Canis lupus familiaris: one gene and its partner. The protein of the gene in region 2 purifies or fractionates together with the protein of the main gene of each other region. This does not show direct contact. Links are inferred from orthologs where the notes say so. Each region holds a gene or a part of one and is shown on either strand. Other genes may lie near its edges. The genes, in order: FGD1 and SH3PXD2A.

What was found.
Region 1: the proteins of SH3PXD2A (region 2) and FGD1 purify together in Homo sapiens (affinity purification with mass spectrometry; 3 studies listed by BioGRID and IntAct, with this or other methods). This does not show direct contact. The link is inferred for Canis lupus familiaris from reciprocal best matches to the Homo sapiens genes SH3PXD2A and FGD1.

Annotation. Positions count from the first base shown.
Region 1 is NC_049260.1:46,537,753-46,541,569, reverse strand, and holds part of FGD1 (FYVE, RhoGEF and PH domain-containing protein 1), read left to right. Parts: intron 1-737; coding exon 738-796; intron 797-933; coding exon 934-1,080; intron 1,081-1,433; coding exon 1,434-1,526; intron 1,527-1,691; coding exon 1,692-1,771; intron 1,772-3,817. UniProt on the Homo sapiens protein: Activates CDC42, a member of the Ras-like family of Rho- and Rac proteins, by exchanging bound GDP for free GTP. Plays a role in regulating the actin cytoskeleton and cell shape.
Region 2 is NC_049249.1:16,143,358-16,147,174, reverse strand, and holds part of SH3PXD2A (SH3 and PX domain-containing protein 2A), read left to right. Parts: intron 1-2,779; coding exon 2,780-3,117; intron 3,118-3,817. UniProt on the Homo sapiens protein: Adapter protein involved in invadopodia and podosome formation, extracellular matrix degradation and invasiveness of some cancer cells. Binds matrix metalloproteinases (ADAMs), NADPH oxidases (NOXs) and phosphoinositides.

The DNA of each region.
Region 1 (3,817 bases), on a different chromosome or scaffold from region 2:
TATTTTCTTAGGATAGATTCCTATAATCAATATTATTGACACAAAGAATAGGCTCATCTCTTTGTTTCTTTATATATGGCTTTTTTCTTTTTTTTTAATTTTTTATTTATTTATGATAGTCACACAGAGAGAGAGAGAGAGAGAGGCAGAGATATAGGCAGAGGGAGAAGCAGGCTCCATGCACCGGGAGCCTGATGTGGGATTCGATCCCGGGTCTCCAGGATCGCACCCTGGGCCAAAGGCAGGTGCCAAACTGCTGCGCCACCCAGGGATCCCTTTTTTTTTTAATTTTTTATTTATTTAGCTTTTTTCTGATTATAAAAGTAATACATACTCTTTGTCAAAAATATGGAAAATACAGAAAAATCTAAAGAACACAGTAAAAACCACCCATAGCATAGACCCACCATCCAGAGATGGTCAACTCTTTAAATATGGCTATGTTTCTTTTCAGTTACCTATGTAATTATTATTATAGTTATTTTTAATGGTAATAATAATCCTAAGTTTGCATGTTATTCACTGCCAGTTATTCCATGCAGTATGATTCTGTTATTGTGGAATTAATTGAGATAGTTTCTGATTTTAAGTGATGCTGCTATGGACATCCTTGGGGCTGGTGCTTTCTGGGACAGGGAGGGTGTATTTAGGCCAGGAGGAAGCATTCAGGGAGCAAAGAAGCTCCCAAGAGCCTCCTCTCTGCTAGTTCCCCGTTTGACCTCCCACTCTGCCCACAGAGTCTCTGGAGCTGATAGCCACAGCAGCAGAGCACTCTAATGCTGCCATCCGCAAAATGGTGAGTGGCCCTTCTAGCCCCTGCCCTTCCTTAGCCACCCACCTGTGGTGTCTTTGTACTGGGGAACTTGCTATTTCTGGACATGTAAGGGGCAGCCAGCACCCCAACCCTGCCTTCTGGTTACTGTCTCCTGCCAGGAGCGAATGCACAAGCTGCTGAAGGTATATGAGCTGCTAGGGGGTGAGGAAGACATTGTCAGCCCCACCAAAGAGCTCATAAAAGAAGGCCATATCCTTAAGCTGTCAGCAAAGAATGGGACCACTCAAGACCGATACCTCATACTAGTAAGTGCCAGGTGTGGGGTTGCACACATTGGGTACTCACTCAAGACTATACCTCTTGCTAGCCATTCTTTCCTCTATTAATTCATTGTATTTTTACCACCTACACTAGGGATTTTTTTTTCTCTACTTCAGAGGTGATGTAACTAAGACTTGGAAGTGACTTGCCATAGATCACCCAACTAGAAAGCGACTCCCATGCCTAGGCTCTTTCCTCGTGACCATTGTGCTCAATCTGGGCTGTGCTTTCTCCATCTGTTGCCTTGATTCCCCAACAATAAAGCTTCAGGAGTCCTATAAGGATAGGGGGCTGGGCCACACCTCTCCACACACATCCCAAAACTTTTCCTTCGTAGTTCAACGACCGCCTCCTTTACTGCGTGCCCAGGCTGCGGCTCCTTGGCCAGAAGTTTAGCGTACGGGCACGCATTGATGTTGATGGCATGGAGGTGAGCACCAGGAGGTGGGAGATGGGGACCTGGAGTGGGGCCTTGGTGCTGGGAGGAATAAAGTTGTTCTGCTCTGACCCCAAGTCTTTGCGTGCATGTGTGCAGAGGGTAAGGTCCCTGTGGAGCTTAGTAGTCCTCACAAAGCCTCTTTCTCCCTCCATTCAGCTAAAGGAAAGCTCCAACCTCAATCTGCCTCGGACCTTCCTGGTGTCAGGAAAGCAGCGCTCCCTGGAGCTCCAGGCTAGGTACTTGCCCTTACCTATACCTTCCCTCCAGACCCCTCTTTCGCTTCAGATACAAGGCATTCTAGGCCTTGTGCCAGGCTACCTCCCCAAGGAAGAGATTGTTCCAGAGAAAAGATGGGTACCTTTTCCCAAAGATGCAGCTTTGCTCTTCTGGTGGGTTTTGTTAGAGGAGAGGGAAGAATGAGATATTAATCCAAGCAGGAATGACAACAACATAGTTTATTGTAGATTCAGAGATTTAAGAGAAATCACAATAAAATGCAATCCTTGGTCCATGAAAGTAGCCTAATTTGAGCAAAACCCTAAAATATATTTGCAAGAAAATAGGGAAAATCTAAGTGTGAGCTGAACAATAGCTGTTGGGGAATTATTGCTAACTTTTTCAGGTGTGATAATGGTATAATGGTTATACAGGAGAATGGCCTTGTTTTTTTCATGTTGCACATTGAAGATTTAGTATCATGATATCTGTAATTTATTTTTAAATGATTTATCAACCAAAAAATACATACACATGTACATATATTCACACACATAAATACATACATACATATACATATATATGAAGTAAATATAGCAAAATATTTTTTAAATTTGCATCTATAGGATAGGCATACATTTAATGAATTTGTGTTATCCTGTCTTTTTTGTACACTTGAAATTTTTTATAAACTTTTAAAAATAGTAGCATTTAAAAATAATGCCTAGCCATTTAATAAAGAGGCTTTCACATCCATCCTCTACTTGGATGATTATAATAATAGCTCACATTTAGTGAAGACTTGCTCTTATGCTAGGCACTGTTTTAAGTTAATTTTAACTTAATTTAAGTTTAAACTGACTAGTTGAATCCTTAACACAACCGTTGAAGTAGCTACTGTTACCATCAATCCCATTTCACAGATGAGCAAACCAAGGCACAGAAGAGTTGTGTACTTTGCCCAACATCCCACAGCCAGAAAGGAGCAGAGCTGGAAATAGAGCTCATGCTGCCTGCTGAGGGCCCAAGTGATACGGTATCATGGTCAGGGTCAGGGCCAGAGAATGGATGCATATGAGTAGATGATCTGTTTCTGACAGGCTGCAAGGAAGTGAGAAATGAGAGTCAGAAGCCTCATTGCTGGGATTGCATGGAGGCAGGAAAGAGAGATGAATATGGCTAGAAGGTGTCCTCCTAGAGGATGCAAGATAGGTGTTGGCTTTGAAGCTCTGGGAGACTGAGAGACCATCAGCAGCCAGGAAGCAAGAACAAAGTAAATGATGGGCACATCCAGGAGAGGGCTCAGCAGAACCGGAGTGACAAGTCACATGACTCAGCTCTTCCGCTGGGAGGATGGGAGGGAGGGGGCCTCAGAGAGACAATGGAGCCAAAAGGAGTACTGAGCAGTGCAGGATTTCCTCCTACTGGCAGAGGAAAGTCATGAAGGCTTTGCAATTGCTTTGCAATTGATTGTACTGCCCTTTAAAAAATTTTTAATGAAAAATTTCAAATATCCAGAAAATTAGAAATACAACAAACACCCATATACCTACCATTTAAACAATTGGTACTCAACCTTGGCAATGCAGGAATCAGCTGGGGAGCTTTTAAAAAATACTGATGTCTTAAGGGGCACCTGGCTGGCTCAATCAGTAGAGCATGTGACTCTTGGTCTTGGGATTATAGGTTCAAGCCCCACGTTGGGGGGATTACTTAAAATATTTTTTAAAATACCGATGTCTGAGACCCACCCCCAAAGACGGAATTTGTCTGGGATACAGCCTCAACATGAGTTTTAAAAGCTCCCTTGGTGGTTTTAATGTGTGCATCAGGGTTTGGGACCACTACTGACTTAGAAGTCAACAACAATTGACATTTTGCCATATATAGCTTTGGCTAAATCATTATAAATTAAAGACATGATACTTCACCCCAGGCCTTTCCTCTATTTGCACACACACACACATACATACACACACACATTTTCTTTCTATATTGTATTATGAAAATATTCCAGGGCAGCCCGGGTGGCTCAGCAGTTTAGCGCCACCTTAAGCCCAGGGTGT
Region 2 (3,817 bases):
ACCCTCCCAGGGGGGCCTTGTTCGCAGGAAATGTTTTTGGGTGCTTTGGAAGCGGCTCAGCTGTAGTGATTCCACCCAGTTTCCGACAGTCCCGCATCTGTGGGCAGGATGTATGCTCTGTGCTGGCTCCCACAGTGGGAACAGGATTGACCCAAGTGACCTGGGCACTCCATGACAGTATCTCAGACCACAGCAGACTGTGGTGGTGGTAAGATGGGGCTGTGCTGACAGGTAAGGTGAAGGTCATTGGCCACATGGGCTTCGGCCTTAATGTGACTTCTAAGACAGAGCTGCCCCTGCCCTTGGCCCCATGCACACCAGTCAGGAGGGCCAAGGTGTCTCTTTCTGCTCTGTTAGGTAAGACAGGCCTGTTGCCCAAAGCCACTGCCCTAAACTTTCACGTTCTCTAAGAAACTAGACCCAACCCCCAAAGCCAGCAACCACAAGTCTGCATGGGAAGGCCAGCAAGCATTCTGATGCCGGCTGGTGACCCAAACCACTTGCCTGGTTGTCGACAAGGCTACAGGGTCTCTTTAGTTCCTAAAAATGACCCAAAGGTCATCTGAGCCGTCTTTTCTAATCAACTCTTGTCCCCATGGCCTGACTCTTTAGCTAGTGGGGGCTTCCTCTGAGAAAACTTTCCTGAAAAGATTCCACCTTAAGGAGGCTGCCAGACACCCCCTGAAATATGCCCTTTCCCAGCATTCCAGGCTCTGTGTTGATCCTCATTTCCTGTCTTTCTTCTCCCCTCTCCCTTCACACACACATCCCCTCCCTCTCTCCCCATCCCTCCTTTTCCAGTTGGCTTCCCTCTGGAGTCATTCCGTGCTCCAGAGCTGGAAAGCAGATGTGAGTAGAGCTGGGCCCAGACGCACACAGCCGCTCCTGATTCCCCTGCATCTCTCTGCCCGGAATCTAATTTTATCCATGTAACACCAAAGGAATACAGCAGGGTTTGAAATGGGAGCACTCCAGGCAGTGAGCAGGGCTGACCGTCACTCCCATGAGACCCCGCTCCCCATCTCCCCACTGTTCTGATAGAAAAATACTTGCAACAGCCGCAACAGTTCTACTTCATCTTTTCTCTGAGATGCATGAGCACCAAGTTCTGGGCCAGATGCTGCCAACAGCTAGCCTGTGACCCTCTGCTACTTGCTTTGCTTTTCTGAGCCTTGGTTCTTGGCTCCCATGTAAGATTAGGCATCTTTACGTCTTTTGGTTCCATCCACCCCTGAAATTTCTGTGCTTCTGTCTGCACCCATTACCTTGGGAAGCCAGGCTAGCCCCTTGGCTTCTGTCCATTTGTTAACTGGTGTCTGCCTTCCAACTCCCAAACAGGGGAGGGGGCCAGACAGGTGAGCTCAGGACAGCCTGCCTGTTCGTTCCAGTGGTGTGAACATAAGAAGCCACCTCCCACCCAAGCTTTCCAGCATAGCTCAGACATGTTGATAGAATCTTTAGCTTTCACATTCCTTTTTTTCTCTCACCTAATGAACACCCAAGAACAGGGTCAGATTGGGGAGGGGGAGGGATGGTCAGACATCTGGCACAGAGGAGCCATTCCAAAGAGCCAGATGTATCCCAGGGAGCAGACAGGGACGCTGCACCCCAGACTCGAGGGCATTGGCCAGTGACTGCTAGACCAGGAAGTGAGCTGCACGAGGGCTTGGGTAGGAGCTCTCAACACCATGGGGGCAAAAGGAAAAACTTGTTTTCAGAAGTCATCAAATCACCTCAAATTAAGTCAGCTCTATCATTTGTCATTTGCTTTTGTTTATGGGTTTTTATTTTATTTTCATTTTGTTTTGTTTCATGTTGGTTTTGTTTTGCCGTACCAAAGGTTTTCATTTTATCCAGTCATGTGCTTTTAGTCTTTTCATTTATGGTTTTGGCTTTTGGAATCCTATTTAGAAAGATTTTCTTAACTCCCAAGATTAAACAGACACAGCTTTTTTTTTTTTTTTTTTTTTTTTTTTTTTTAATTTTGTTCTAAGGTATGAGGCCAGATCTCACTTATTTTTCCTAATTGGGTAACCAGTCATCTCTAGATGGGTTACTGATATCTCATCCCCACTCAAAGTTGAAATGTTACCTTTCATATCCATCTGTTTATGGACTTGTTCTGTGAACTTGATCCATCCACCACCCACACAGTAGCACCGATGCCTCACCTACCGGGTCACTCTTCTTTATGGACCTCTTTGTAGTTGCTCTTGATATGTTTACCTTTCTGGATAAATTTTTGCAGCTACTCTATCCCTACAGTTTGCAGAAGAGAAAAAAAAATTGAGCTCCAGGGTAGGGACTTGCCAAAGGGCCAGAGACCAGAACTCAGGGCTCCTGCCTCCTTTTACCTGTGCCACTTCTTCACCTCTCTGATAACACTTCCCTTTGCTGGGGCCATCTAGCCAATACACCGCATCCATGCTTGCTCTTGTCTCTAGCGTTGTCCTCTCTGTTGTGAGGTAACAGGCCTATGTGAAGTCTACCTTTTGGGTACCTCAGAACCTGAGGAATCTTCTAATCCTGATGTCCCACATTTGGCTGACTTCGCAGTGAAGGAGAGCCCACACCAAGAAGGATAAGACAGAGAAGAAGGAGACAGGAAGAATTCGTGTTCTAGGTGGCTTTCCATCTGCCCTCAGTTCTCCTCTCCAGAGTAGTGGGACTGCCAGGTGTCTTGGAGAACATGGGAGAGGCCAGGCCCGATGGAGCCTGGGCTGTGAGGTCAGGCAAGCAGCAGTGCTTGGGTGATGCCGTGTCCTGCCCCTCCCCACAGGTACCTGGGCAAAGAGGGCTGGGCACCAGCCTCCTACCTGAAGAAAGCCAAGGATGAGCTGCCGGCGCGCAAGAAGAATCTCGCAGGCCCTGTGGAGATCATCGGGAACATCATGGAGATCAGCAACCTGCTGAACAAGAAGACATCAGGGGATAAGGAGACTCCACCAGCAGAGGGCGAGGGCCCTGAGGCCCCCATCACCAAGAAGGAGATTAGCCTGCCCATCCTCTGCAATGCCTCCAATGGCAGCGCCCTGGGCGTCCCTGAGAGGAGCATCTCCAAGCTGGCCCAGGGCTCGCCAGCTGTGGCTAGGATTGCCCCACAGAGGGCCCAGATCAGTAAGAGCCTCCTTGACCCCTGCATCCTCCCTGCACAGCTCTTTAGAAAGTGGTCACAGGGTGCAAGGAAAGCCAGAGGGGTGTGCGGGACCCCCGTATCATTTTCTTCCTGAGATCTAGACTGACCTGACCCTAGCCTCACTCCGTGAACTTGTTGCCTGCTCGTCATGAGTAGACAAAGCAGTTCCTCATGACTGTTGCACTGAAGGTCAACTACAGGAGTATATGAGCCTGTGGCATTCCCTCCTTCCCTAGAAGAGAGCCAGAGGTGGTCGCTCTGTAGATCAGTGTGTCCTCCAGGCTGGGAAATACGAGCCCCCTGCGCAAGGGTGCTTTACAGAGTGACAGCCAACAGGGCATCTTTCCTGGCTTACCCTTCCTTCCGTGTTGCCTCTCACCACTTACTGGAAGCCTAAAAGACTTGGAAGGAATGGCTTTACCTCTCCCCAAGCAGTTTTAGAGGGCATTCTTAGGAACATCGTCATCCTTACAGGAGAAACCCAGTTACCCAGATCCCCCCAAATCTGTCCTCCTCTGGCTCATGGCATCTTCGGTTCAAGGTTAGATTGTCCTATATTATGAGAAGCCAACTTCTGTTTAGGTCCAGCCATGCTTGAAATCTGGAGGAAAGCTGTTTCTTAGTTTAGTTCTAAACTTGGTTTTAAGCTCTGGTGCTTGAAACATTTGGGCGAGCAGTCAG